Linked DNA regions of Nothobranchius furzeri. The protein of the gene in region 1 interacts with the protein of each later gene in a biochemical or structural test. Links are inferred from orthologs where the notes say so. Each region holds a gene or a part of one and is shown on either strand. Other genes may lie near its edges. The genes, in order: smurf1 and pdlim7.

What was found.
Region 2: the proteins of smurf1 (region 1) and pdlim7 are reported together in a solved structure, tested with the Homo sapiens proteins (2 studies listed by BioGRID, with this or other methods). The link is inferred for Nothobranchius furzeri from reciprocal best matches to the Homo sapiens genes SMURF1 and PDLIM7.

What each region holds. Positions count from the first base shown.
Region 1 is NC_091752.1:65,336,662-65,352,306, reverse strand, and holds the end of smurf1 (E3 ubiquitin-protein ligase SMURF1), read right to left. Parts: intron 12,481-15,645; coding exon 12,442-12,480; intron 12,341-12,441; coding exon 12,232-12,340; intron 12,148-12,231; coding exon 12,014-12,147; intron 11,926-12,013; coding exon 11,860-11,925; intron 11,763-11,859; coding exon 11,687-11,762; intron 11,539-11,686; coding exon 11,327-11,538; intron 11,239-11,326; coding exon 11,154-11,238; intron 9,418-11,153; coding exon 9,271-9,417; intron 8,951-9,270; coding exon 8,728-8,950; intron 8,115-8,727; coding exon 8,011-8,114; intron 6,246-8,010; coding exon 6,131-6,245; intron 6,026-6,130; coding exon 5,847-6,025; intron 5,702-5,846; coding exon 5,564-5,701; intron 5,488-5,563; coding exon 5,367-5,487; intron 5,263-5,366; coding exon 5,061-5,262; intron 3,823-5,060; coding exon 3,738-3,822; intron 3,666-3,737; coding exon 3,566-3,665; 3' UTR 3,333-3,565; downstream 1-3,332. UniProt on the Homo sapiens protein: E3 ubiquitin-protein ligase that acts as a negative regulator of BMP signaling pathway. Mediates ubiquitination and degradation of SMAD1 and SMAD5, 2 receptor-regulated SMADs specific for the BMP pathway.
Region 2 is NC_091741.1:103,125,851-103,141,495, forward strand, and holds part of pdlim7 (PDZ and LIM domain protein 7), read right to left. Parts: intron 6,448-15,645; coding exon 6,395-6,447; intron 6,242-6,394; coding exon 5,995-6,241; intron 1-5,994. UniProt on the Homo sapiens protein: May function as a scaffold on which the coordinated assembly of proteins can occur. May play a role as an adapter that, via its PDZ domain, localizes LIM-binding proteins to actin filaments of both skeletal muscle and nonmuscle tissues.

The DNA.
Region 1 (15,645 bases):
CCTGAGATCAGTGGACTCAGTGGTCTCCTTTAAAAAGCAGCTGAAGACTCACCTGTTCAAGCTGGCTTTTGTATGACCTTCTTCACCACTCCCTCTTTATTCTGCTCTCCCCACCTATTCCACCTTCCTCAGGATCCACTGATTTCCCTCTTTCCTATTCACTCTCTCTCTTTCTTAACATTTTTTCTTTTAAATCCCAATTGTATATTTTTGCTCATTTTAAATATATTTTTAAACATTTTCTAAATGCTTTTTAATATTTTTACATATTTTTTGTTTTTGTGAAGCGCCTCGTGATTTTTATCTTGAGAGGCGCTATAGAAATGATACTTTCTTCTTCTTATAAAACATTGCGTAGAATCCTTACTAAAACCGTACTTAAGCTCGGCAAAAAAATGTACTTGCGCCAAGTAAGTTTGTGACCTATAAAACAGAGTACGCACAGCTTCACGCAATCTCCGCTTTATAATCACAAACTACCCAGAAATGTGCTCAGCTGTTTCTGGATAACATCCCGCCCTCAACACGCCCACTTTCTGCCATAAATGGTCAATGCAAAGTGGCTTGTGGATCTCATGCATTTACATAAGCTGGCTTGTTGCAGCAGTCCACTATTATCGATGGCGACCGCAGATCAAGGAAGCGAGGGGGGCTTGTTCTGTGTGTGCATGAAATGGTACAAGAGATAATGCTGCTGGAATTCAAAATTTTATCCTTCTCAGCAGCAGCACTGCAAGTGTTCTCCATGTCCAAAATGTGCGTAAGCAAGGTCCTTAGTCAACATAAAGTTGTGCACGTTTCTGCTTTGTTTTCTTTTATAAACCCCAAAGTTTGCGTGGAAAGTTGCTTACAGTATTCCGACCCCATTTTGTGCACAAGCAAGCTTTATAAATGAGCAGCACTGAGATCTAACAAGACTAGAACAGACACAAGATTCCTATCTGAGGCCATAAGAATATCATTTGTAACTCTCACTAATGCAGTTTCAGTGCTGTGATACTCTCTAAAACCAGACTGAAATTCCTCAAACAGAGCATTAGTGTTTAAATGCTCATTGGTCTATAATTCATTGGGTCATCTGGATCCAGAGAAGGCTTCTTAAGTAAAGGTTTGATTACAGCAACCTTAAAATCCTGTGGTATGTATCCATTTACTAAGAATAGATTGATTATATATGCATGGTGGCGCAGTGGTTAGCACTGTTGCCTCGCAACACGAAGGTCGCAGGTTCGAAACTCGGCTGCAGCCTTTCTGTGTGGAGTTGCGTGTTCTCCCCATGCATGCGTGAGTTTTCTCCGGGTACTCCGGTTTCCCCCACAGATCACAACATGCCCTATAGGTAAAAAAAATTTGAAAGTCGCTTTGGGTAAAAGCGTCTGCTAAGCACATAAACATAAACAGAATGGGGGCAGTAACCAAAGGAAATGCATCTTTAAATAATTTGGTTGTGATTGGATCTAAAATGCAAGTTGAAGGTTTAGATTAAGCTAATATTTTTAACAGTTCAAACACAAATGAGGTTCTACAGTTACCTCTGATACTGCCTCACTTACTGAGGAAGAAGAAATCGCATTAGGGAGGATGCTAATGATGTTGTATCTAATAGAATTCCCATAAAGTCGCTGCTGAAGGCTAAGGGAATAGATGGTTCTGAGCTATGATTCTCTGAACGTTTGGCAACCGTACTGAAAATAAGTTTAGTATTATTCTTATTCTCCTCAATTAACGAAGAAAAATATGCGGTTCTAGCTTGTTGAAGCTTATTTTTATAAAGCACAAGACTATTTTTACAGGATAGGTAGGACTCTTCCTGGTGTGTAGAGCGTCATGTTCTCCCCAATTTTCTAGAGCCAAAAAAAAAAAAGCCACAAAGTAGAAAACCTTATTCTCAATGTAATTTCTTTTAATATAATCTTATTTACATTGTATTCGTTCATAAATGTTTAGTACATTGTAAGTTACAATACTTTTGCATCCATTACACAGTGAAATCAGACCATAGACAATGCAGACTGAAATAATACTGCTTAACAGTCTTCAATCTACAACATTGTTTCTTCTTTGAGCTTTTATTCATCAAAGTTTCATGGAGCGGAAATAGATTCATTCATGGAGTCTAGCATTTCTAACACTCAGGACATGGGGTGTTATGAATAAAAGATGGCATTACGGGTAATGCAACATGTACAAAAGACTGAAGAGATTTTAATACAGACAACATGGATGAAGGATTCCTAAATCTGGCTGTTTCTCCATCCCGGTTTAGACTAAATCTGTAAAAAATAAAATAAAAATAAAAGCTTCAAATGACCTCAAATATGATTGATTTCAACACCAGGGCCAAGAAAAATCACTTCCTCTACATTTAGACAAATGTAACCTGGTATTCTGGAACACATTTTCATTCACCGTCTAGAGCTTATTCCCTCCACAGGAATATGGATGTTCAAAGTAACAAAAGTCAATAAAAACCCACTTTGTGGATTACTTGCATTGCGTGAAAATTAACCCTTCAACTCTAATCGAGGGCTGATTAAGAGATTAGTGATGGCTCGTCGTAGAGCCCGTAGCAGCGTGGTCAGTAATCACTTAGTAATAAATAAGAATAAAACATCAGAGTGGATCAGAGTGGTCGCAGACAAAAGCCAACAGAGGCTCGTTTTACCATTCAAATTATGGAAAGTCAAAGGTGACAATAAAATGCGCGGCAGGACGACCAAGGGAACAAAAAGGCGCCCGTAAAAAACTTGCACCGTGCTCGCCAAATCCTGTATGGAAAGCCAATGGTGATGGATTAAAAAAAAGCTGCTTTAGCTGGCTAGATAAACAAAGAATGTAAAAAAAAGTTTTGTTCTGATACTTTGAACAGTTTATCAATAGAGGGTTAAACTGTAATATATATATATATATATATATATATATATATATAATTTTTTATTAGCTACACTTCTTGCCAGTATGACGTTTTAACCCTTTAAACGGTTTCAAGTATCAGGACTCATCTTCTTTTATTTACTTTGTTTTCGACTCACCTAAAGCAGATTTTATTTATTTTAATTTTATTAATTATTGTCTGCTTAATATTGGCTTTCCAAAACGGCCATTACGCACATTCAAAACGTGCGCTTTATTGTGACCTTTGGCTTTCCATACTCACACACGCATGCATGAACGCGCACACACACACTCACACACACACAGAACAGTGGTTAACCATGAAGTAACCATGAAGTCGATGAATCAACCGTCCGTGTTTGCAGGCTCTCGTGCGATTGGCTGAGTTTGGAGTCCGACTTGTCGTGGTTGGACATTCGTAAGAATGACATCATAGCTCGTTAAAAATGAAGGATAAAAATTCTTCTTCAAAATGTCTGAAAAAATTTAAAATACTTGTTTTTTCCTCCTCCTGCTGCTGCTGTGCTTCCTCCTTTACCCCCAACAGTTCGGAGGTGGCTAGGGAGTGTGTGTGTGTGTGATGCTTGGCTGCACTGTATACTCGGAGCATACATGAAGTTCTGTCTGTGCGTGTGTGTGTGTGTTGAACAGTTGTGTGCACGTGGACAGGTCACTCCACAGCGAAGCCGCAGGTCTCCTCCACGGCCGTCAGCAGCTTCTCATTAAGTTTCTCGTAAGACTCGTAGGGAGGGACGTCTATCCGGTTAAAACTGGACACAGGAAACAAGCGTTAGCCACCAATCTGCAGAGGACGCCACACGCCGCGTCATACGTGTCCTCACCATGTGTGCGCCTTGGGTAAGTTGTCCGTGTTGGCGTCTATCAAATGGATGGTGAAGAGCCTTGGTCCTGCAGAACCTGTAGAGCCTTACACACATTCATTCTAGTTATCACTGCGCTACCGTGGGAGACAGACCACTCCTCAGTCCAAACTACAAACATCCAGTTAAAGCTCAAACTTGATCAGACACACATTTAGTTCAGTCAGCCATTTTAAGTGTTTTTATGTGTAAAACTGATAGTTAATAACTATTTTAAGCTTCCTCTAAAGAGAAATAGTGTTTCATCCAACAGGATTGACACGCTAACGGCTAGACCGAGCAGTGTTTTTGCTGCAGGTTTAATTCTTTTTTTCAGGGCTTGTTTCCCTCTAAATTCTGTTTCATTTTAGTTTTAACTTTTAGCTTTAACGATTGTTTATAACTTCTACACAAAAACTAAATGTCTCTTTTGAGCACATCATCATTGTGATGAGCAAAGCAACGATAATAAAGGATAGGATGAGAAGAATGGATCTCTAATTTAATTTTGATTGATTAACAACATTTATACTGATATTTCTGAAGGTCAGATTGTAGAATTGAGTTTTTCTTCAGTAAAACGTAAAAACTAGCATTAGCAGCTAGGTGCCCCGCAGGGCAGACGTGATAAATGAGGCCATAGTGCTCACACTGAACTTATAAATCTGCTGCAAATGAGTAATAAAACTTATAAAAGTCTATTCTTTAATTTGAATTTATCTCATTTAGTCACTATTTGTTTGTTCTGGTATGTTTTAAATGTCCTGCCTATAGCTTGTATTTTGTTTCCTGTACTTTATTGTGAAAAGAAAAGTGGGAGGGGCTACGAGGTCCCGAGAATGAGCGCGAGGAGCGAATAACGGCCATGTGAGGAATATCCTGCTGCTGTGGATTTTTCTTTAAGCTAAGAAAAATAATTGTAATCAGAAGGGAACTGTGACCCGACTTTAAATCAGGACTCGAGCTTTAATCTGACACGGCTACAACCTCCTAAAGCCTGCTACTGGGTGTAGGAATGATCCAGTATTAGCTGAATAAAAGGACATCACAGAGGAACTGATCGTTAATCTTTATCCCGTTTTTGTTATTTGTGTCTCCAGAGTAACGATGTAAACATGCGAGGCCCAGACTCGGGTCTTAGCAGGACATGATTGTGTTTTAGTATCCGTCCAGCCCTGATCCTGGTTAGCTGTGTGTCTCTTTGTTGTTTTTAAACTTTTATGAGTAACCATGTGTGTGTGTGTGTGCGTGCGTGCGTGTGTGTGTGTGTGTGTGTGCGTGTGTGTGTGTCAGGACATGACCCACCCTGCAGAGCTTTGAACCCCTGCAGCGGCACCCGGGTGGAGCCTGTGACGAACTGCAGGAGGCGCCCTCTCCTCTCCTCGCTGAAGTCCTCCACAGCCTGCCAGAACCACCGGACCACGTTGCTCTCACTTGTGCAGTGTTTCAGGCGGGTGTTGGCCTTCCAGTCCGCGAGGTCTATCTTTCCAAGCCCGCCGATTATCAGCTGGAGGGACGAGAGGACAACAGGATGGATACGGTCCGACTCAAACGCAACAAATCAAAACAACATTTAAAAAGGGATCCGTGGTTCAGAGCTGAGACATTCACCTCAAGTTCTTTATGGTCAAAAGGTTTGAGGAGGTGCTGTGGGATCAGCTCACTGAATCCCTTTTGTAGAGCCAGAAACTGGGCTTCGATTCCCCGCATGAACCTCCAGTTCACGTAGAGTCTGCAACGCGCCGTAAACACAGACAGGATGAAGACACCCGACCCAGGAAACGTGTCGACCAATCGTCTGCTCCTACCTGACGTATTCCTTCTTGTTCTCCTCCGTAACAGAGACGTTCCTGCCGTTAGGCTTCAGTTCATGTTGGGAGAACTTCCCAAAAGCGTTGTGCTCCACGCAGAACGTGTGATCGAGGACGGAAGTGATGTCGTTCTCTCTGCACAAAGAACATTAAACACAAGTGAAAACGCACGATGAGCTAAAGCAGCAGGCTACTGTAACCCCGTTTAGTGCTAAAGGTCTGAACCGGGTTACACCAACGTCGGCCTGAGCTGCTCTGAGAACAGAGGGAAGTTCCTCACAGTATCCAGACGAGGCTCTTGTGCAGCTCTGGGTCTGTGGTCTCCAGGTCACTGAGCTGGATGGGTTTCCCGAGCAGCTGCTTGTAGAAGGGCAGCGTGAAGCTCCCGTTGATGTAGTGGCTGTGGAAGACCGCCAGGCCCATGACCCGACCCACAAAGTGGAAGTAGGACAGGTGGTCCTTGAAGAGACAGGAATCGAGTCAGAGACTGTCTGGATCAACCCCCCCCCCCCCCCCCCCCCCACACACACACACACACACCCACACACACAAAGGGACACTCACGGGGTTGATGGAGGAGTCGGAGTTGATCTGTAGTGTGTAGATGTTGTCGGTGGAGTACTGGAACAGGCCGTAGTAAGGGTTCAACATTTCATGGCACAGCAGGTACAGCCACTCCCTACAGACACACACAGGCTGTTTCAGACGCTTACACTGACAAATCACACCAATAACAGCCAGATATGATACAAAACGCCCGTTAGACGCTAATCTAACCACTCTGATGGAGCAGGAACACGTCGTCTAGTCGCACATGGATGGGTTACCGGTCCTACAGAGAAACAACAGCACCGGGCTGATCTAGAATCACACATTAAAGGTTGTTTTTTTTTTTTACCCGTGTTGTGGAGTTGCTAATGCTAACGGTTAGCCTCTACTAGCCGAGTTGTGCTCTGCTCTCTCCTGGATGCTAAATCAATAACAACCTTCTGCCGTCACGACTGAAGCCAAGGTGGGCGGGGCCACTAATGCTAATTTCCTCTCTGACACGAGCATTTCCTCATCTATTTCCTTCTGCGGCGAAAGCAGGAAATAGGGGTAGAAGACTATTTTTCACATTCAGCCTGCACGAGGAACTCGGAGTGTCCGATCGGCTTTCAAAAGAACACGTTTGTCAGAGAACAAGACTTTTAACACGACTAAGGCAAAATATTAAAACTCAAAAACATTTTCACAGTCTGAAAGACAGCTCTCATACGTTTAACACACTGATAAAGGAACACACTTTCTACTACTAACCCTACTAGTACTACTAGTACTACTACATCGGTGTCTGTGAGCCTGGGGCACACAGAAGACGGAAGCGCCGCAGTTTTGGGGTCACACAGGAATCGCTGCATCGCTGAGCGTCATGAGACAGTCACAACTTCACGTGGGACTTGAGAACAGGAAGTGGAAAGTGACTCTTGTTTATACGTGATCAGACTGCTGTCGTGTTTTGTGAAACTAATTCATTAAAAATGGGTGAGTACTCTGTTTATTAGAATATTTTAAGATCAATAGTACTTTAAAGTATCAATACTGTAGTCAAGTAGCCTTTATAAGCTCCTCGTCCATGTTTTGGCGGTTGGCTTTGTGCCGTAAAGTCGTTCTGCGTCGTAATGTCTGTTGTACATTGAATGTGCTACTACTAGTTTACCTGTTTAATTATAGATTCACTAGGATAAATACAGTAAAGTTTATCTCTCATCAATATTTACAAAGAAATCACAATGTAACCATAGAAACACTTCTGTCTGTCTGTCTTCTCCATCCCCAGTGAGTCGTGGTGGATGGCTGCTTATACTGAGCCAGGATCCTCTGGAGGTTTCTTCCTGTTAAAAGGGAGTTTTCCTCTCCACTGTCGCTTCATGCTTGCTTAGTATGAGGATTGCTGTAAAGACTGTCACTAGTCAGTGACTTGATGCAATTTGCTGGGTTCCTTATATAGGAAATATTTTTCTGATTGGTGAACTGACCTGGATTGGAATGTTTACTATGTGAAGTGCCTTGAGACGACTCTTGTCTTGATTTGGAGCTTAATAAATAAGCTTGAATTGAATTGTAAAGTACTCCTCAATTCTTCTGAATGTTCGTTCTGCGTTTTGGTTCATAATCATCTTCTTTTTTCTTATTTAACACAGTGTAGCGATTTGATGTTTAGGTAGAAAAACATCAAATGGCTACACTGTCTGTGTTAAATAAGAAAAAAGAAGAGGAGTACTCCACAATGATGTAGACAGCTGCGCCACGGAGTGTTGTTCTGGTATGTTTTAAAAGTCCTGCATATAGCAGGCGTGACGCGGCGCGGCGCATCTGTCTTCTGTGTGCCCCGGCCACAGCTGCACCAACTAAAGCAGAACCACCAAACGCTGGCTGCCCAGAAACAGGACTAAAAAAATCACCTGGCCACTCCTCCGTAATCCAGACCCTCCTCCCCTCTGAACTTCACCATCAGGCGTTTCTTCAGGTCTTTGGGCCTCATCTTCATTATCTGACGATAGGACTCCTGTAAACACACACACACACACACACACACACACACACACACACACACACACACACACACACACACACACACACACACACACACAGTTTAACTCTTTGAGCTAATGACGCCTGGTGGAGAAGCTGAGAAGAGGTTAGTTAAGCGCAGAAACCTCGTCTGATTTAGGAGAAAAATGTCTTTTTTTTTTCGTTTTGTGATGGACACTTGACCAGAACCACAACAAAATATGTGATGACCAGAGAGAGGAAAAGAGCTAGCGTTAGCCTCACTGATCAGGAGACAAGATGGCAGTTGTAGGGGGGGGGGGGGTGTGGGACGGGGGAGGGGGGTGACAAACACAAAGTATTCATTCATTCATAATCTGGAACTCCAAGTACATGTTGGAAGGTGAGTCGTGCTTCAACAATCTTCTGTTATTTACCTCTGAGTGTTAGCAGCTCAGGCTAACATTATTGTCCTTACCAGCATTTATGTTGTTGAACTACGTTGTTGAACAATAAATGTTTGAATAAAAAAAAAACAACTAATAATCTCCCCAAAATGAGGCTGGAGCTGACGACATTAAAAGAAAAGGGTTCAAAGGTCGTTAATCATCTGCTGCTCTTTCTCTCACCTCAAAGATCTCCTCTCGGGACACCTCGATGCGACAGTGTCCCGCTTGAGGCTGCTGCAGCGACAGCTCATGGCGGAGCAGCTTCAGCTTATGCACCAAGTCTCTCTCGTAGCGCACCGCTACATCTCCGTCTCCTCCTCCGCCTCCGCTGCCGACTCCCCCCTCCTCCACTCCCACATCAATCTGAGGGGCCTGGGGGGTCTCCTTCACTTGGGAGTGCTGGCTGGAGGGTGGAGATGAAGCCGAGGAAGGAGAGCAGATGAGAGAAAACACGATGAGATGGAAGAACGCCCGGATTACACACACCTGCTAAACCTCCCTTAAGCCCACATTTCTGTAAACCACATGATTCAGCCGCGCTAGCAGAGCTGGTGAGTGTTAGCACGTCATGTTCAGATCCAGACGTGTTTCTTACTCACATCAGCAGATTAGATTAACGAGAAGACAATCTTAAAACTACTCGTTTAGCAGACTAAACGTCCAGCACTCAGGAGGGAATCGGCTCATCTGTTAAAGACAGATGAGGATCTGAAGATGGCCCACCTGATGATGGTGTGGAGACGTGGGTCTGTGAACTGTGTGGTTCTGTTGTTGTGGTCCACAAAGTAGATGCGGCCGGACACGGTGCTCCGGACCTCCCAGCCCACCGGTAACGGCCCGAGTTCTTCACAGCTCACACTGGCCAGGTCCCTGCGCCACAAGCAGTCGCACAGTTTTATGGTTCTGGTAGAAAACACCAGTGGGCAACAGCTGTCCACTCTCCCGGTAGCTAATATAAAGGCTAGCAGTTAGCTTTATCAGTTTGGCGATTGTCAATAAAAAAAGAAGAATTTTGCTTTTTCTGTTGGCATCATGGCGGAGCCTGGAAGTAAAAGTAAGAGAGCAATGTCTTTGGAGATGAAGCGGAGATAAAACCTGAGTGAACATCGTCGCGGCCTACGCTAGTTTGAGGGAGCTAAAGAAGGATATGAAATCAGAGACTGATGGTGACCTGGCTTTGTTGCTACTGAACTTGTAAGTAATAATATTTTTTGTCCAACGTTGTGGATCTTTTAACTTCGTGGCTTATTTGGTTTTAGTTGGCTCGTGTTAGCATTAGCTCATTGTTAGCGTTAGCTACAGCAGGCAGCGGCTGAGTTGTTTGACAGTTGTGATTCCGCTTTCAACCAGAGGGAGGGAGAAGTGGAAAACATTTGTAGAGCAGGTTGTTATGATTTTTTAATATATTTTCTAATGGAATCCCTCTGATTGTGACTTTGAGTTATTCAATCGTTTCCAGATTTTAAAGAGCAAGTCACCCCCTACCAGATTCTTACTCAACTCCCACTTCCTGTTTGAAAAATGCAACAAATGCTGTTGCCTAGCAGACCGAGAGGGTGGAGCCTCTAACAAATACACACACTCACGACATTGTGACATCATAATGTACCATTTGACATCATAGTGTACCTCTTAGCCAATAGCGACGGCAGAATGCAAATGCAGTGCTGAGTTTTTGCCTGACGACGGTGCATCACTGACAGTTTTAGGCAGAAAATTAAAATTTTAATGAAGATGCACTAAAATGCCAAATTATTGACTACATTTGTCTACAGCAATCAGACACTCATTTATATAGTTTATCAGCAAAAAAATGTTGATTTGGAGTGACTTGCTCTTTAAACATCAAAACCAGCATTTTCTCGTAGCTTAGATTAGAACCAAACTAACGTTGAAATATCAGCGGCTGCTGCATCGTTTCTTCTCATCTTTTTATTCTCATGAAGTTATTTCTATGAAATGCACCAGGACCTTGTATTCTTGTTTATTCTCGCCTGTTTCTGGGTGTATGGAGCTAGGATTGGGACATTATTACATGTGACTTGTAACATGTTTTGTAACATGTAACTTTAGTATTGTAGCATGTAATTCTCAGTTTGTAACATGCAACTTCGGTAAGTAACATGAAACTTTTATTTTGTAACTTACAGAAAAAAATCAATGCACGAGTTCCAAATCACAACTTTCAAAACACAAATCTCAGTCTACAAGTACAACACATTTTGTCCCAATTCTAGCTTGCTTCCAACAGGAATTGTCCTCGACAGGAATCTAAGACTCATGATTGGCTGGTCAGACAAAGCCCGTCATTGGTTCTTTGAGAAGGAAGCTAGAATTGGGACAAAATGTTTTGTAACTGTAGACTGAGATTTGTGTTTTGAAACTTGTGATTTGGAACTTGTGCACTGACTTTTTTTCTGAAAGTTACAAAATGAAAGTTTCAAGTTATGTACCAAATGTTACGTGTTACAAAACGAAAGTTGCAGTTACAAAACATGTTACGGGTTACAAAGCTTGGTACAAGTTACATGTAAAATTGTCCCAATCCTAGTTCCATATGGGTGATGTTTGGAGAGTGAGAGAAGCAGCAGTGTGTGATCGCTCACCGTGGTATCCGAGGGTCGTGCCAGGTGCTGACCCCTGTCTGTGTGTGAAGGAAGTACACCTGCCCCTGAACTGTTGTTCTCTGCTCTGTTTTTAAAGCAAAAACAGATAAAACGGCCTTAGAAACTATCTGAGTCAAGTTTGGGTTGGATAAAACCTTTGCTGTTAAACTAACCGTATCCCTCCGGCAGGTCAGGCGGCTGATGCCCGTGCGGTCTGTTCTGAGGGGTGTGGCCGTGACCTCTGGAGTCCTGCCCCCTGATTCGCTGCGATGGAAGACGGCTCTCCTGATTTGGGGAGTCCAGCCGGCAGTTCCCGCCTCCCGCAGCACCAGTGGGGTCAGAGTAGGGGAGCGGCTCCTCGCTGAAACATCCCTCAAAAACAGGCCTGCACCAAAAAGAAAACAAACCTCACAGCTTAAACTAACGGTGATCAAACCAGTAAGAAAACATATTTTGCTCCCAAATTTTGTGGTGACCTTATTCACAGGATGGAGTTTGATAAATTCAGCAAAAACACGTGGCAACACACTTACGCCTCATTTTCCAGCAGGCCTCTACAGTCCACCACCGGCCCGCCGCTGCCGATGCGGTCTCGTGTTTGTAGGCTAACTGTAAACAACAAGAACGACCAGATTAAAGTGCTGACAGGGCGAGGGACAGGAAGGGACGACGCGAGAAAAACACCGTTTTGGACAAATAGTCTTACCTACAATCTGACCCCTGACTGCATCGCTGTCAGAGGGGTTCAGCTTACAGAGATCTAACCGCTGGTCTGGAGGAGGAAGCAAACTCAGGGTTTTAATCTCAGTCATGATAAATGAGTCAAAGGAAAGTTTTAAACCACGACGAATTAGAATTACATCCTGTGTCTTTTAGCCTGCTGATGGCGTTGGAAAGCAGCCGTATGCAGCCCAGAAACCCCGCCCCCTGTCGTTTGTGGATCTTCTTATGGTTCCATATACTGATGGTGATGGAGTCCGTCTTCCCGATGTAGCTGGAGAACAAGTTCCATTCATCATTTTGAATATATTGTGACATTTTCATCAAGGTCAAACATCTTTACAGAAAGGAAACTCACAGGTCATAGTGCTGGTTCCACTTGGGATCCAGTGTGCTCTTGACGGTGTCGGTGGAGTGGCACTGGCCCGATCCGTCTACCACCACCTTGGCAAATGGATCTGGTAGACCTGCACCCACACACACACACACACACACACACCAGCTCTCTGTTTCCATTGTTGCAACAAAATAATAATATTTACAAAAACACTGACGTAAAAATACTTACGAAAGAAGTCTTTCTTTGCGAGGTTCTTGGCACACAATACTACAATAAACAAAAAGAGAAAGTATGAAGAAAATGTCACATGCATAAACATGTAGTTAATGATGGCGTGTGGGCTGCTGCCATGAAATCTGGTGCAGAAAAAGATTCGGAGGAGGAAGAATGCAGGTTTGAATTTCAATGAGCAGAAAAACTAAGAAACTAAAACACGACACCCATCACAGCAGAAACCAACAATTAGTTATGCTTTAAGCTGAAATTTATCTAAAAAATCATCAATACAGGTTTTTTCTTTATCTTAACTCGGATGTTTTTAACTGCAATGCAGCACATGAACACCCGGGGGCAGTGTCGCTGCCAGGACTGCACACAACCCAACCAGCAGAGAAGAACTTCTCAGGAGGAAGGTAAGGTCCGTTCCTCAGTGTCAAGGAACCTCGCCTTGATGTCTTGGTCCTACCCCGGTTGCCTAGGAGATACATCATCAGGAACCGCCAAGGCTGCTCCAAATTGCTCATGTTCTACCGAGGCGCGTGTTCTTCGTTTGTTAGCCTTTTAGCTAGCTGAGCAAGGATACACAGAAGGTGTATTCAAACCTGGCCTGTGTCAAAAATTCCCCAGAATACGCCGCAGTATTTTCAAAAGGATGGCGAATCAGGAGCCAGCAGCTACTTCTAGGGTTGTCACGGTGTGAAAATTTAACCTCACGGTTATTGTGACCAAAATTATCACGGTTTTCGGTATTATCTCAGTATTTTTTTTAAACGTGTTACATTTTCAGACAACTAAATAAACCCTGTATGTCAGGAAAATATTGTCCTCAGTTTGTGTCTAAATTTTGCCTAAATTTTTTTATTTTGTAATTATGTTGTTTATTTGTTTACATTTTTCCCCTTTAGTCTTTAAAATACCGATATTTGCCCATAACTTCTTATTTTTTGTCTGTTTGATGTCATCATTTTAAAAATATTAGACCAGATGGTACTCAGTACTCAAGTAGCCTTCTAATCAGATACTTTTTTACCCTTACTTGAGTAATAAACCTTAAATCAGGAAAATATTGTCCTCGGTTTGTGTTCCAGTGAGCTTTGCAGATGTGGGAAAATGTCATCAGGCAGTAATCATTGTTAAATTCATAATTATTCTCGGAGAGAGACCAACTCTTATCTGCCCCTGGGAGCCCCGTAATGCATAGCGTCATTTCAACATGGGGGTGTCCGCGACACGGTTTATATGCAGGTAGCGGCGCTGCGGCTGCTTTATATAGCGACTCGTTGCATTCTCCCTCAACCCAAATCCTCGGATCACGCATTTTAGCTAAAACGCTAACGTTAGCTTGCCTTGCGTTAACTGTAGATTTGTGGGTGATGGTCACGCAGATGTGTCATGAAATTTGAAGTGTTGCTGCCTTTCACAGACACTTTTTCTGCACGTGCTGCAAACAGGATAGCCGTCTTCTATCAACCGTCCCTCGGCATTCTTCAAATATCCAAAAAATGCCCGTACTTCCCACTTTGTCTTCTTTGAGGGATAATAAATGTCCTGAGCGCTGCCGTCTCCTCCTTTTGTCCATAGAGTACTGAATATCATCTGATCTAATATTTTTAAAATGATGACATCAAACAGACAACAAATAAGAAGTTATGGGCAAATATTGGTATTTTAAAGACTAAAGGGGAAAAATGTAAACAAATAAACAACATAATTACAAAATAACACATTTTAGGCAAATTTTAGACACAAACTGAGGACAATATTTGTTGTTTATTTAGTAACCCTGAAAATTTAACATGTTTAAAAAAATACCGCGATAATATCGAAAACCGTGATAATTTTGGTCAGAATAACCACGAGGTTACATTTTCACACCGTAACAACCCTACTATAGGTCTGAGGTGAGAGCAGGGGTGGGATTTAATAAGTTTTCTTCATCCCACTTCTTTTCAGGTAATTTTTGTTTCTTGTTTTTGTGCACTTTATGTTTTATATATATATATTTTGTTGTGCCTGAAATGAAAAAAAAAGCGATTATCCTAAAATTATTTAGTTATTGTTCTTTTATGAGTTGCATATATCAGTGTCAGAAATTAAATGGGTTCTATAACCCCCCCAAGGCGCTTCGCAACACAATCAGTCATTCACCCATTCACACGCTAGTGGGGATGAGCTGTGATGTAGCCTCAGCTGCGCTGGGGCGCACTGACAGAGGCGGGGCTGCCAAACACTGCCCCCACAGGTCCCTCCGACCACCACCAGCAGGCAACGTGGGTTAACTGTCTTGCCCAAAGACACAACAGAAGCATTATCTGGTCAGAGCCGGGATCAAACCTGCAACCGTCTGATTACTGGACAACCCACTCTACCTACTGGGCTACTGCTGTCCTGTAAGAGTAAGACAATATGGGTATATCAAAAATAGGTGACAAACAACAAAATGTTGGGATTCAGCCTGCTGGAGCAGCTGAGCTGCGGTAGGTAGGTGTTGTGCAAAGAAAAGTGAGCCGCCAGCCATGCCGCCGCCCCGCCTCAGGAACAATACAACACAGATGCATATTGAGGACGCAATCAATTTGAAATGAGCGACAAGGCTCATTTTATATATACTTGTGATATTAACTTTTCATACTAACATACTTCCTGAATGTTTCCTCTGCAGATAGACTAAGGAAATGACAAATACAGAAAGAAATACATAAATAAAATAAAGAAAACTTAAAAGGAGAACTTGGATGTGTTCTCCTTTTATCTTCTTGTTTCAACGCTTCGCTCAAGTCTCGGACTGGGACTCTGTATCCAGCAGACGCACAAAAACAAGCGACTTGGACTCGGATCAGGAGCGAAAAAATGCGATTGAAATATTACTAATTTAGACTCTTGCTGAGCAGTTTAGAAAACCATTAGAATAATAATATTAATGGTTTTCACGGTTTGCCTTTTTCCTCCCAGGATCTGAGACTTCCTAAGAAGTCTGTGCTGTGGGATGTGATGAAGGAGGTGGCGTACATGTGTCTGGCGTAGCCGGGCCTATTTCCTGTGATTAACCAACGGAGAATGGCTGCAGGATATCCTTCCCTTTTCCTCGTCAACCTCTTTCATTGCTCCTCCATCTGACTCACACATTCCTCCCCCAGACCTCATCTTTTTATCAGACACAATAAAATACCCAGAGAGGAAAAGAGTCGAGTGTCTGAACTCTGACTCTTCTTT
Region 2 (15,645 bases), on another chromosome or scaffold:
CTGAACCCAAAGAATATATTAACCAGTATATAACTGCACTCTCACACAACACGCCTGCAGCAACAGTTAGGACTCCTCCCTCCCTTTTAAAAGCGTTTTTGCTTCCGAGGACATTGTGGTTGTAAAACCACATGCTAGTGGTCTGGCCCCGGTGTGATCAACCAGTTTCTGCGGGAATGTGACGGCGGAACCAGGGCCAGATTAACACTTTGTTGTACCCTGGGCAACAATATTCAAGGGCTCCATCATCACGACCCAAGGATCACCATAATGTGGTCACATACAGAATATTTTACTGTAATATGCAGTAAATATACTCAATACTTGAATGCCTGACAACACGTAACCCGCCCAGAGTAACCTTTGACCCACCTCGTGTGGACTGACCAATGAGGAGAGGGTCTTAACTTGAGGCCCTCTCTTCATTGGTCAGTCTGCATGAGACTGACTCTCAACTGACGTTCAAAGTCATAGGCAGCGAAGCGTCTCTGTGCAGCGCAAAAGCCCGGGTGGACAGTTTGTTTAATATAGGGTGACCATATTTCCATTTCCAAACAAGAGGACAGGGAATCTGTGCCTATGACGTCACTCTATGGCAACGCCACACAAACCACGTTGGGACCCATTTTTTGTAAGAACTAAATTAATTTCAGATTCTGCCAATAAAAGGGCTCTAAAACAATTCATGTGTAAATATTTTGCATATTTAATGCAAAATCTCATTTTTATGCTTTAGTGCTGCAACAAGGTTTTATTAATAATAAATTATTATACCTTTTGTTTTACTACAGCATCGGTAAGCTTCCTGTGCACAGATTATTAAGGATGCTTGTTTCAGCTGTGAGATTAGACGATAGGATCAATGAAAAAATAAGTTGTCACACACTCCATGGAAACTTTCAGAGAATCCACAAATAGTGGCTTTCAAATGGTTTTGTTACTTTTTGCAAGTTTATAAAAGAAGCAGATGAGACAGCATGTCTGATAATTTAGTTTTTCATCTGATAATATTAGAACATGTCAGTAATGTCTGAGGGGCTTTTACAAACACTGTATAACTAATACTCCTGGAGAGGGTATGGATTACACAGAGGCTTCTGGGGAGCCCAGTTATGGAGGGTGGGGGGCATTTTGCCTTGGCCCCCAAAATGTCTTGAAACGGCCCTGGGTGTGTGACTGAGTTTTGAAGGTGATCTGAATTGTATCAGATGTATAACTATGACATGTGTATAACTTATTGTTTTTTACTGGTAAAAACGTGTAGTGGTGATAAATCTACCTACATTTTACTTTGTTTTCTTGTTTTTATTTAACTATTTTCCTGTCCTGTCTGTCTCTCATCTTCCTGTATCTCCTCATAATTCTCCAGAAAATCTGTTGCCTGGATTCTTACCTTTTCACCTCATCAGTTACTTTTGAGCAGATCAAAGAGATCTCCTGACCGCAAAGCGCAGAGCGCGTTTTCGATGCTGCGTGAGGTGACATCACCACAGCACAGGTGATGAGCTCCGCAGTAGCGCGCTTCAGGCACAAATAAGACAGAAAATAGAGAACATGTGCAGACAAGAACGATCGTGTGCTAATTATAGTTTTTTGGTTGCGCCACTTTGAGAATGGACCGTGCGCTGGAAGCAGCTGCCTGGATCGCTGTGCAACAATGCGGAACCGGTTCGCAGCAGCTCAAGTCTGCAGGCTCTCCCTCGCGCTGATCTGCCGGCTCTCCCTCGCGCTGATCTGCCTGTACCGGCTCTCCCTCGCGCTGATCTGCCGGTACCGGCTCTCCCTCGCGCATCTGCGGCTCTCCCTCGCGCTGATCTGCGGCTCTCCCTCGCGCTGATCTGACTTGCTCTGGTCTGTGCGCAACGGCGGGCGGGAAGGGGGGGTGCGCTTTTGGAAGAGTTGTGCGACACAACGAATCGATGACGCAATTCGTTGCCAACGCTTTTAGTAATCGATTTTCACCGAATTTATCGATTCGTTGTTGCAGCCCTACACCCCATAGTTGTCAGCGACCATGCTCCGGTCTCATTAACTCTGGTAAATAAGAAGACAATCCCACCAAGCAAAAACTGGAGGTTTAATACATCACTGCTTAAAGACAAAGGTTTTATAGACTTTTTTTAAAAAGGAGTGGGCTTTAAATTTAGAACATAATGACCTGCCTGGAACATCATGAGGTAAAACAATCTCTTTCTCATCACATAAGAAAAAACAGAAAACATACTTATTAAGGAGTTAAAAGAAATCATTAAGTCTTTAGAGGCATCTGCAGAAAAAGAGTTACTGAGCAAATTACGTGAAAATAAATTAGAACTTCATGGAATTAGACACAATTTTTAGCACAAAGACTACAAATACAAAACTTTGAACATATTAATAAATCAAGTAAATTTTTAGCTAACCAGTTACGAATAAATAAAGAGAAAACTACCATATCTGCTGTTAAAGCAGGGTATCTGCAGGTTTAAGGGAGCCAAATTTAAGACTTTTTAAGACCTTTTTAAGGCCACTTTGACCAAATTTCAGCAATTTTTAAAATTTTATTTAAGCTATAATTTCCAGCTATTGCCTGGAACCGGTGCTAACCACGTCGCGAACGTGGGATTAGCCATCCAGTTACCATTACACTTGCACTTCCCCATGGCGCAAGCTCCCGCTAGCTTAACCAGCTAATGTGCTCATCTAAAAATAGCCCCCTTTCACAACCAACTGAATGTGTACGGTTCCGCTTCCGCCAATATCGTACACAAAAAATGCTGAACACTGACTAGAAATTCACGACAATTTTATAGAAATAAAAGAATCTTGTTTATTGGGTCTTTGGTAATTTAAGACCTTTGGAAACAGTATTTAAGGATAATTTGTCATTTTTAAGGATTTTTAGGGCCTTAAATTTGGAAAAGCTAATTTAAGACTTTTTAAGACTTTTTAAGGACCCGCGGATACCCTGTAAAGGCTCAACTGGGAATATAGTTTATGATCCTGAAAGAATAAACAACACTTTCAGAGACTTTTACCAAACTTTGTACTCACCACAGATAAACCCATCAGATAATGAGATCATTGAGTTCCTTGACAGGATAACCAGGGTTTCCCTTACATAGGCGTAGCCGTGGCAGCCCGCCACGGCTGAAATCCCACCGCCATGCCTACAAGATCCCAAGTTTGTTTTTTTTTTGCGCTGTTTCCCAAAGAAGCAGCGGGAATTACTATGTTGTCGCTTGTGATCACAGCCGGCAGGCAGCAAGGAGGAGCAGGCAGGGCTACAAAGTCATTATAGCAGATGGTAATAAACCAAGAGCATTATGGCCACCCCTGACTACTTTACACTAAATGTTACCAGAAAGATAAAGATAAAGTAGTCTTTTCGAGGGCAATTCAGAAAAATAAAAGTGTAATTAGGCAGCTTAATAAAAAGAAAGAAAAGCGACCTAGTGAAAAAATACATAGGGAAAAGTATTCCCAATCAAAACATAAAAGGCACATAGGTGAAAACATCTGGGTAACTTAACTTAAGACACCACCAAAAATAAGGTCATCATTAACCGACCAAAAAAGAAATAGAAAATAGTTCATAATGTTGGTGGGTAGAATGACTGAATGAAAGAAAGGGATGGACGACCAACCTCAGAGCCAGAAGACTTTAGTGATCCTCAGAGTTATTCATAACAGCAGGATCCAGGGAGTCCAGATATGTCTCTGCCTCAGCTGGATCAGTAAAAAACAGTTGTTCAGCTCCGTAGATCAGTTCGATATTGGCAGGATAAAAGAGGAAGACTTTCCAACCCAGGGCATGAGCACGATTTAAGATTGGAAAACAACGCCATCGCACCGTCACATCGCTATAATCCGCTGCAAAACATATGAGCCTCCCAGCGACAGACACCTGAGAACTCCTGGACAGGGATAGAATACGAACTTTGTCGGCAGCTTGCATGAGACTGACCAGCAAGGTGCGCGACGAAGCAGAGCCTCCGCCGGGACCAACACGTCAGGAGGAGAAGCCACCAGTTCTGGGAACCACACCGGGAGATGATCCTTCAGGTAGGATTAAGCATGATTAAGTTCGACCCCTTCTTTTAGGTTGAAGATTCGGATATTATTTCTTCCGCTTTGATCCTCCAGAAAAACAATCTTATTTTGGCGTTTTGTTAGGTCAGACTTGTAATCCACTTTACCTTCTTCAATTTGCTTGACTCAATTCTGGAGTGAGGAAGTCAGCTGCTTGTGAGACTCAAGCTCGGATTCCAGCTTGTTAAGAGTGACAATCACACTGTCGAGTTGAGACTCCAGTCGATCAAAGCGTTCTTTAGAGAGCGTCTCGGCTTCAGAAAAATATTTTTTCAATATAGCGTCCAGCGACGCCAAGCTGAAGTCACTGATTAACACGTCAGCGGCTTCCTCTGTACCTTTCGGCATGTCCTTAGCCAGAGTTTTTTTTGGAGGCATACTGAAGAAGAGAATTCCCAATGTCTTCAAAGTGGGACAACTTTTCAGTCCTTTTTTCGAACTTATTAAAAGATGATCAGGAAAGGCCACCACACCCAACTGCTCAGTCCGCCATATTTAAACCAACAGAAGTGGCATAATGCACTGTAATTTATTATCGTGGGATTGTTCGGTAAAACAGTGTTGATTTTATATTTCTTCATCAAGTTGACGCAGTGATAGCTTGCTCCTGTTATATTGTTGTGTGTCCCTTTTCTGCAGGTCTAGAAGCAGACTCTTGTTCATCATTGATTGTTTATCTTTACAGCTTAAAAGTATAAATAATAATATGTGTTGAATGAACAAGATGTTTAAATCAAATGTTTGAATAATCTGTGCTTTAACCAATGATGGCTATAAAATGACTATTGCTCTTACAATGATCCATTTCAGATCTTATAATCAGTATGTCTTTGATTTAACAAGTTAATCAGTATCTACACTCATACACATTACAATAAGATACGTATTAACCCTCTCAGACTCTAAATAAGTTTTGATAAAAGGATGAACAACTAAGTCCTTCAGGGGTACTTCTGAGTTATAATTTATAAACAATTAGTTCAATAAAACAAAAATGTACTTCCTGATTAATTCAGTTTCTAGCTGACTCCTGATTCGGCCAAATCGGGGAAGAAGCCTTTTTCAAACTGTTTCCTTTGACTTCCAGTCAAAGCCTCTCTGCGACGCTGTGAGTAATTACAGATGCAACAGCTCTTTTCAGAGCTACTTCACACCTCAGACATCTAACCTGCAGACCCCAGGTTGCATCTCATGGATGGTGAAGCTGAACTCAGAGGAAGCTGTTACTCTCTGAGTATTGTGGTTTCAACGTCCGGTGACATCACCACTCGAACCGCACTCCTCTGGACCGCCGGGATCAATTCATACCAAGGGTATCGTAGCCTGCACACTGGCTTCGGATGATTTTAATAAACAACTCTCTAGTTTATAAACAAACAACAAATTATTTTACAACCCAGACTTAACAAACTCTCTCAGATACAAAGAACGGTTTTGCTAAAACATCTAGCTTCCATTACATTTCACACATCCCATTACATCACCTCATACCCACTACATCACATCTCATTATTCATATCTTGTCATGAATAATCATTAGTTTAGGAAAAATAATTAAATTAATTTTAGAAACTATACCTGACTCTGTCTGAATTAATAGCAAGTGTGTTTATGGTCCCTGAATTAGCAAAGAACACTAGAATCGTCTGAGTAAACACTGAAAGATCAATCAGATTGATATTTCATATTTATATGGAATCATCACATCTTATTGGTCATTATTAAATATGTAGTCTCAAAATCATCATGCTACACAAACATATACAAGCTGTGAACTAATGCTAAATAAATCAACTGAATTAAGTTATGAGTAAACTAATTCTGCACATTAATCACCTGAGATTATGCATCATACTAAACAGGACTGAAAAGGTTCATACACTGACTTTACACAGTTTAGGTAAATGTTAAGAGTTGCCTCACCTGATGATTTTGTTGCAAGAACCACATACTGGGGTTCTGCCACTGTCCTCGGGCGCCTGCTGCGCTGCCTGAAGGATGGAGCTGCGGTTCTGCATGGGTGTTGGCTGGACAGGCTGCTGGTGCTGCGTCACCACGGTGCTGGTCTTGTCTGGGTGAAAGCGGTCTGCAAATATAGGGTCCGTGACCCATGGTGGTCTGCAGGACATACTGGAACCCCCTCTTGTTGGTGCTGCAGTGGTCTTGGAATCTGGACAGAAAAAAAAAACACGGACTGAGAAAAGTTCTGTGTCTCTGTTGACAATTGGATGCATGAAGACCTAAAGAATAAGAATCTGTTGCACAGCCTCCAAGCAGATGCTGCTGTGATTTGTTTTACGCATCAGCAGGAGCAGAAACTCACCATCTGGTTTATCTGAAGCTTGGGTCTTGGCAGAGAATGAAGTTGGCTCAAGGCTGAAGGGAGAAAACGGTTAATTACAAAAGATCCCACATACACACACACACACACACACACACACAGCTCGGTAACCATGGTAACCCCTCAAGTCTCATATTTTGAAATTAGTATTTATAATCGACTATTGTGACACAAATTATCTTCTGTGTGAATGATTCAAAGCTACAGCACCAGCAGGATCTGATCCCAGAGAGAAGCTGTTTTATTTAAACCTTGAAGCTGCAAGTTTAAAAATGTTTATCCTGGATTGTTTAAGTTCATGTTGTCTGCAGATCTTTCTTCCATGATATCTTTGTTCCATGATAATTAAGTTTTTTGGAGACAGAAATCAATCAAGTAATTAAACATGCTTCAAAACCCAATGCTGAACAACAGAATAAACACATCAACTCTGCAGGACTAAACAAACCCTCTGTGGGTATCTCACCCTCTCTCCAAGGGAGAGCCGAGCCACCCTGCTGAGAAAACTAATTTCGGACACTTGAATCTGCAATCTCATTCTTTTGGTCACTACCCAAAGCTCATGATCATAGATGAGGGTAGGAACGTGTCGACTGGAAAATCACAGGCTTTGCCTTATGGCTCAGCTCTCTCTTCACCACGACAAATCGGTACAACGCCCGCGTCACTGCAGTGATGCCCAGGGACGTATCTAAGCATTTTGGGGGCCGAGGCAAAATAGACCCCTTGAAGTTGAAGTGCTATCTGTTTTTATATTAGACTTTTTTAAAATTGCAATAAAGTCCAAAAGTGAAGCATTTATGGTATTTATTACTTGATTGTTCAAGCTACCTCACCGAAGTGATCTGTTATTTAAAATTAAAATAAAAAGGTAATTAAATAAAAAAAAATAAGGAACATTCTGGAACTGTTTCTTCCTTTTCTTTATTTTATTTTTTTTCATGTATCGAAAGTATCGGATCGGGACTCGGTATCGGCAGATTCTCAAAATCAAATGACTGGGACTCGGGGGCAAAAAAACCTGATCGGTACATCCCTAGTTGCAAAGCAACTCCCCGCCAGGACAACAGAGGGCATAGCGCTGTTCTGTGGTATCCTGTCATGTATCTGGTTAGTGCATTTAATATTATATTTATATTGTATTTTGTGTATTTAAGAGACTTTTTAACACAAACAAATTTGTCCTTCATTCTCCACCTCTTCATGGACTCGCCACCTCTAAACCCAATTTTCCCGTAATTTCCGTCCATGGATAAAATGCTTGCTGCATATCTTTTCACTCCTCCGGTCACAGGTGAATAAAACGTTCATATTTTTAGAGTTTTGCCGTGAGGTATTCTTCAAGCTGCTCCATGTCTGCCGCTAGATATCCTTGGTTCTCTTTATGTTTTCGAGGGCGCAATGACGGCATTGTTGACGACAGCGGCGTCCTGACCAATCACAAGCTTGCATTCTTCGTCTCGCCGGTCAGATGTTTAGAAAAGAGACCTCGACTCCATCCATCCTTGGAAGAGCTCTCCAGGAGGTTTGAAAGGACGGATAATGGAGTTGCGTGTCTCCATCCCGATGCAGATGGAGAAGTATAAATTAGGCATTAGGCCACCAAAACAGATCCTCTTAACACATTGGCTGCGCCTAGAAATTCTGTCCATAAAAGTTATGAACAGAATCTGCAATAAAGTCACTCAGCATGGCTCTATTAAATACCCGCTCTGTTAACAATTAGTCTTTCCTGCTCAATGATCTAATTCTCTCTAAAAACCTGGATTTTCTGTTTCTGACTGAAGTTTGGCAGCAAACATCTGATTATTCTGGTCTGATTGAACTCTGCCCGAGTGGTTATTCGTTCCTTAGCCAGCCCCGGGGTTTTGGTCGTGGTGGAGGCCTAGCTGTTGTTTTCAGAGACCAGCATCCATGTAGCTCTACAACCTCTGGTCACTTTGCTTCCTTTGAACTGCAGCTGATTAAAGTCGGGCGTAAGGACCCGTTCTACTGTGCTGTGGTCTATCGTCCACCTGGTCCAAACAGTTCTTTCCTTCAGGAGTTTAGTTTCTGTCCTCCACTGTGAAGCTGTCCAGACTGGTGATTGTTGGTGACTTTAACATCCACGTTGATGATCCCTCTGATCATTTTGCCATGATTTTCTCCAGCCTTATGGACTCCTTCGTCTTTACCCAGCATGTTTCTGGCCCCACACACACCACGGGGCACACTCTAGACCTTGTTTTTACCCTGAGTCTAAATGCTGACAGTGTTTGACATGAGGACGTTTCGATTTCAGATCACCATTGCATTTTCTTTAACTTGTCAGTTTCTGCGTCCCCACCTCCTGCTCGCCGTATGGTTAGTTTTCGTTTTCTTAACGAGAGCACAGCTAGCAATTTTTCTGCTGCTTTTGATCCACCCTGTTCTTCTGATAATGACCCAGATTCCTTAACTTCTCAGTTCAACGAGCACTGCCTCTCCATTCTGGACAATATCTGTCCTGTCAGAACCAGATTAGTTCCTGCAGTGAACCCTACTCCCTCGTTTAATGACAGCCTTCGCAGCCTAAAGCACCAATGCAGAAAATTGAGCGCTTGTGGAAGAAAACCCATCTCCACGTCCATCTGCTGCACCTAAAGGATCTTCTGACATCCTTTAACTCTGCAGTCAGAGACGCTAGGGGTGCCTATTTTTCCAACCTGGTGTCCCAGAGCAAAGGGAACCCCAAGGTGCTTTTTAACACCATCAGCAGCACTGTCTCTCCTGCCTCTCCTACAGCCTCCATCCACTCTGTTGCAGACTGTGAGAACTTTCTGTCTTTCTTTGTGGACAAAGTCAATAAGGTTAGATCTAGCATCTCTCCTTCAGCCTTATCGCCGCCTCTCCCGAATCCAACCAGGCCCATCATCCTAGATAGCTTTGCTCCTGTTTCTTTGCCAGAGTTAACAAAACTAGTTAACTTTATGAAGACCTCTGCATGCCCCCTCGACATCTTACCCTCATCTTTGTTTAAAAGTGCTTTTCAGTCCATCGGTCCCAGCGTGCTCTCTATAATTAATGCTTCTCTGGTTTCTGGTCAGGTCCCTGCTTACTTTAAGAACGCTGTAATCCACCCGCTTCTTAAAAAACTGAGTCTTGACCCCTCTCTCCATAGCAGCTTCAGACCTATCTCTAAACTTCCATTCATCTCCACGCTCTTGGAAAAGGTTGTGGCTAAACAACTCACAGCAGCTCTTGATGAACATAACATCTATGATTGCTTCCAGTCAGGTTTTCGTAGAGCTCATTCTACTGAAACAGCTCTTCGTAGGGTCTCCAATGACCTTCTGACTCACAGTGATGCAGGGGACTGTTCTGTTCTGGTCCTGCTGGACCTGACTGCAGCCTTTGACACTGTTGACCATCACCTGCTACTGGAGAGGCTGAGAGACTGGGTAGGCCTATCAGGAACTGCTCTGGAGAGGTTCTCCTCTTATCTTTCTGAGCGCTCCTTTTCTATGGCCGTCTCCAAGTTTAGGTCCTCCACCACTTCCCTTACCCATGCTGTTCCACAAGGTTCTGTGCTGGGGCCTCTGCTCTTCCTCCTCTTTCTGCGTCCTCGTCAGCACATCCTGAGCTCCTTCAAAGGAATCTCCTACCATCTTTATGCAGATGACATCCAACTGTACATCTCCTTTAAGCCCCATGAGATGTCTACGCTGCAGCTGTTACACACCTGCTTAGACTCTATCAAAACCTGGATGGCTGGGAGCTTTCTACAGCTGAATGAAGATAAGACTGAGATCCTCATCTGTGCCCCAAACAAGCTGGTTCCCAAAGTCAGAGACTCTCTCGGTCAGCTTGCTTCTCACACCAAACCCTCCGTCAGGAGTCTTGACGCAGCTCTCACCTAGGGCCTGCACGACTTTATTTTTTCTAAAGTCAACAGTCAAGTAATGAAAGTCGAGTCGACTTAGACTAGTCGTTGATGACGTCATACGCCGGAAGCGGCGGGGGGGGGGGGGGGGGTCGGTTGGTAGGTTCGCTGGAGTTTTTGACAATTAAAATTGCGCCCACATTTTCTAAGTTAACACATCTCTTTTAACAACGGTAGTTTCTGCATCCTACTTCAGCCCTCTCCCCCCTCCCCCTGCGCAGCAGCCACAAACTCACTGATGCGCCTGCAGCCTTTCCTGCTGCTCTAAACATTAAAATAATTATTTCATTTTCTGTTCCTCACTTCTGATTACCTTCAGTGGTGTCTGTTTGTTGCAACCAGCAGGTACAAAAACTAACTTGTTTTTATTTGACTATTTTTCTGTCCTGCCTGTTTATTATCTTCCTGCATCTCCTCTCAATCCTAAAGAAAAACTGCTACCTGGGTTCATATATATTCACCTTATGAGTTACCTTTGAACTGCAGTTCTAAAAGATCTACCGACCGCAAAAACAGCGGAGTGCCGCTGCTCGCTGGCCGACTACAACGGGACCGTCTTTGCTGCGGAGTTCATGCCGGAGCGGAGCAGAGATAGTGGAATCTTGGGGGTGCGTCACCGGAGGACAACAGGTGATGCGCCTCGCTCCGCAGCAGCGAAATGCATCAGGCACAAATAACAGACAGAAAACATGAAAGGAAATGAGCCAACATGAACGATCGCATGTTTAATTTGTTTTTGAGGTGGTGACACCTGATTTGGCGGTGCTCAGGACGCAATGTCTGGAGCGCACGTCAACGATCAGAGCTTTGCATGCACAAACTGGTTAAGATTAGGATGGGGGTGAGGGGAAGGTTAAATTGCAAGAGGGAAAAGGTCACAGTTTGGTTAAATGTCCGTTTTACCGCCGGTGTCAGTACCGCACAGCGCGTCGCCTCCGCCTCGATCCAGACGCGCAGGGGCTCATCACCTGCTGTCTTTTCCGAGGACTGCATCTTGTCAGTCATTATCACGTGACAGCGACTAGTTGATGACAGGCATAAAAAGTCACTACAGAGCCGTGAAGTCGACTAGTCGACTATTTCGTACAACCCCTACTCTCACCTTGGATTCTCATGTCAGTTCTCTTGTTCGCTCTTCCTTCTTCCATCTCAGGAACATTGCAAAGCTGAGGCCAGTTCTGTCCAGCTCTGAACTTGAGACAGTTATCCACACCTTCATCTCCTCACGCTTAAGCCCTTTTCAGATTGGCATTCTGGAATGTGAGGACAATTCAGTCCAGTTTTTAACCAGAACTGTGTTTTCAGACACACCACTTTTGTACCTGAACTTGCCCTTTCGGCTGCTTTCACACAGCAGATCTCTTGGGGGGGGACACGACATAGTGCGGAGGGCGTACATTCGTCATTTACCCAAACAAAGCCATTCAGTCAAACATGGCAGACGAAGCGATAGAATTCTTCTCACTGATCTGACTTATGTTAACCATAAATCTGCGCACACGAAGACGCATAAGAGACCTGGATGATGAAGCTCAATGGTTAATAAATGACTCACGGAGGCGGTGTGAAGCGGTGTGAAGCGCTCTGTCGCGCGTCTAGACGGTACCGTAGGAGGCAAGCTGCCATGGTTCGCTGCATGCTACAGGAGCGAGCTATCTAGGTGCGCACAGCGTCCCCTGGTCCCCTCCTCCTCCTCCCCCTCCTCCCTGTCCGGAACTCGACCTCACCCGTCTGAAGCAGCCACCTTGTCCGTGACAAATCCGGACCTGTTACTAGGGGCGTTGTCCTGTTTAATTACGGAAAAGGTTATCCGGATGTTTGTATTCAGACACAAAGGTCTTACGGACAGAGTCCTGAACATTTCCGTTTTTCATGGCCTGTCTGAAGGGGGCTTTAGACTACTGCAACTCTCTTTTCACGTGTCTGAGCAGAACCTCCCTGAACCGTCTACAGGTGGTTCAGAATGCCTGTGCTCAGCTTCTGACCAAGTCCTCCAAACACACCCACATCACCCCGCTTCTCCTCCAGCTTCACTGGCTGCCAGTCAACTTCAGGGTTCATTTCAAGATCCTGGTTCTGGTCTATAGGGCCTGACATGGACAAGCACCATCTTACATTGGTGATCTTCTTAGTCCCTACACCCCCAGCAGGTCCCTGAGGTCCAGTGATCAGAGCCTACTGGTTGTGCAGCTCACCAGGCTAAAGACCAAAGGTGACAGATCATTTGCTGATGTGGCCCCTCGTCTCTGGAATTCTTGTCCCCGAACCTGAGATCAGTGGACTCAGTGGACTCCTTTAAAAAGCAGCTGAAAACTCACCTGTTCAAGCTGGTTTTTGTATGACCTTCTTCACCACTCTTTATTCTGCTCTCCCCACCTATTCCACCTTCCTCAGGATCCACTGATTTCCCTCTTTCCTATTCACTCTCTCTCTTTCTTAACATTTTTAATCACAATTGTCTATTTTGTGCTCATTTAAAAAAATATTTGTAACCATTCTCTAATTTTTTTTTTTATTTTTACATTTTTTGTTTTTGTGAAGCGCCTCATGATTTTTATCTTGAGAGGCGCTATAGAAAAGATATTTCTTCTTCTTATAAAGCAAGAGGAGAGTGAGCTTTTGTGTATGCTGCTCTTCATCTGTGGAGTGCACTCCCTCTCACCATACGAGAGTCTTCAGTGATCTCGGTCTTCAAGTCTAGACTGAAGGGTCACTTTTATGATTTGGCTTTTGGACAGTGACCTCTTTTATGCTTAGTTTTGTTGTTTTTAGCTGTTGCTTTTATCGTCAAGACTGTTTTAATTGTTGGTGTCCTAGTTTTATTGCTCTTACTATTCTTACAATTGATTTGACATTTATTTATTGAAATGTTTTGAGTTGTATGTTCCTGACTTTTACTGTTTGTTTTTATCTTATTTTATAAAAAAAAATTATTCTGTTCATTCTGACTGTCTATAAGGCGCTCCGTTCAGCTCTCATGCTGCGTTTTTAAATGTGCTGTACAAATAAGATGGTATGGTATGGTATGTTAGGTCTGTAATACCCGCACACTGCTCCAGTCGACTTATCAGGATGCCATGGTCAATAAATTAAAAAGCAGATGTCAAATCCAGGAGCACTAGAATCACAGAATCTCTGGAGTCAATGACCAATAGGATGTCATCTATGACCTTCAATATTGCAGATTCTGTGATATAAAAGGGTTTATACCCTGATTATAAGACTTCCCCATTCCTGTAGAAAGGACATCAGCTGGACATACACATACATGATTTTAGAGATGAAGGAGAGTGTAGATGCAAAAAGAAGTCATGCACGTACACGCTCTCTCTCTCTCTCTCTCTCTCTCTCTCTCTCTCTCACACACACACACACACACACACACACACACACACACACACACACACAAACACACACACACTCAGTTTTAAGTGCAAAATGTAAAAGTAAAGAAAGAAGGAAAGAAAACGATCTTTTCTATAGCGCCTCTCAAGATAAAAATCATGAGGCGCTTCACAAAAATAAAAAAATGTTTTAAATATAACAAATCATTTAGAAAATTATTTTAAAAATATGTTTACAATGAGCAAAAATGGGCAATTGTGATGAAAAAAAAAAACAGGAAAGAACGAGACAGAGTGAAAAGGAAAGAGGGAAGTCAGTGGATCCTGGGGGAGGGCAGAATAAGGAGAAGGTGGTGAAGAAGGTCATACAAAAGCCAGCTTGAACAAGTGAGTTTTCAGCTGTTTTTTTAAGGAGACCACTGAGTCCACTGATCTCAGCATCAGGAGTAGATTTCCAGTCTGTGGGCCAGAGCAGCAAATGATCTGCCACCTTTAGTTTTTAGCCTGGTGCACTGCACAACCAGTAGGCTTTGGTCACTGGACCTCAGGGACCTGCTGGGGGTGTAGGGGCTGAGAAGATCACCAATGTAAGATGGTGCTTGTCCATGTAAGGCCCTATAGACCAGAACCAGGATCTTGAAATGAACCCTGAAGTTGACTGACAGCCAATGAAGCTGGAGGAGAAGCGGGGTGATGTGGGTGTGTTTTGAGGACTTGGTGCAAAGCCGAGCACAGGCATTCTGAACCACCTGTAGACCGTTCAGGGAGGTTCACACCTTCCATTAGAGCAAGCCTCTGATTGGTGGGTAGAATCAGCCCACATGGGCTTAAGGCATGCTCAATTCATCATCATTCATTATCATGCTGATTACTTAGAAGCTGAAAATGTCTCTGACTGTATTCCTTGCATACCTAAGCAAGGATGTGTGGAATCAACCGGGCGAGGCTGGGGCTGACTGGAGCTAACCGGGCAGGGCCGACCCGGTACAGATGGGAATGAGGCATAAGCCTTTCCATGCTCTACTACTTTCTTCTACAATTTGCTCTTTAACCGTATTATTTCCTGCTATTTCAGCTGTTAACTTTATTTTTTCTCTGTGTTTTTCTCCCCAGAAGAAGCTACAATTGTGTTCTGCTGAACCGTGGTAGCCTCATGGAGGGGCCATTGGCTTGAACACTACTGCTAACCACTTAAACATTGTCCCTCTCCTGATAATATTTTACTTTCTTTGACATTGAATGTGCTGCTACTAGTTTCACCAAATAGAATATTACTAAGAAATCACAATGTAACCATAGAAACACCACTTGGTATATATGTTGTGTGTGGATGTGTGTGTGTGGGTGGGCTGGTGTTGGTGTGTGCGTGTGTCTGCTCTGTCTACTCGGTCCCCAGTGAGTCGCGGCATATGGCTGCTTACAGAGCCAGAATCCTCTGGAGGTTTCTTCCTGTTGAAAGGGAGATTTCCTCTCCACTGTCGCTAAAAGCTTGCTTAGTATGACGATTGCTGTAAACTCGATACAATTTGCATGGTTCCTTATATAGGAAACTTTTTACTGACTGACTTACTGAACTGACCTGTATTGGAATGTTTACTATGTGAAGTGCCTTGAGACGACTCTTGTGATTTGGCGCTATATAAATAAACTTGAATTGAATTGAATTGAATTAAAGGCAAGAATTGAACTTGTCAGGGGGCGCTAGTGAGATGAGTGAGGAGTAGACACGTTTTTTTGAAGCTCCTCTTGGCACAACCATTATCTTAATTCAACCACCTTTTGAACTATTAATCCTCTTTCATTGCAAAAGAAATCATTCTGTGTCACTTTCTACATACATTACCAAGAACCGGGAAGAAAACATGTCCAGGAGCACACGTAGGGCTAAGGGAGCGGCCATGGCTAACGTTAGCTGCTGCAGCCCTAGGAGAAAGGGCCCGGCTTTGCTGGTGGACCATGGTCCGGAGGAAGAAGAGGACGAGCTCCCT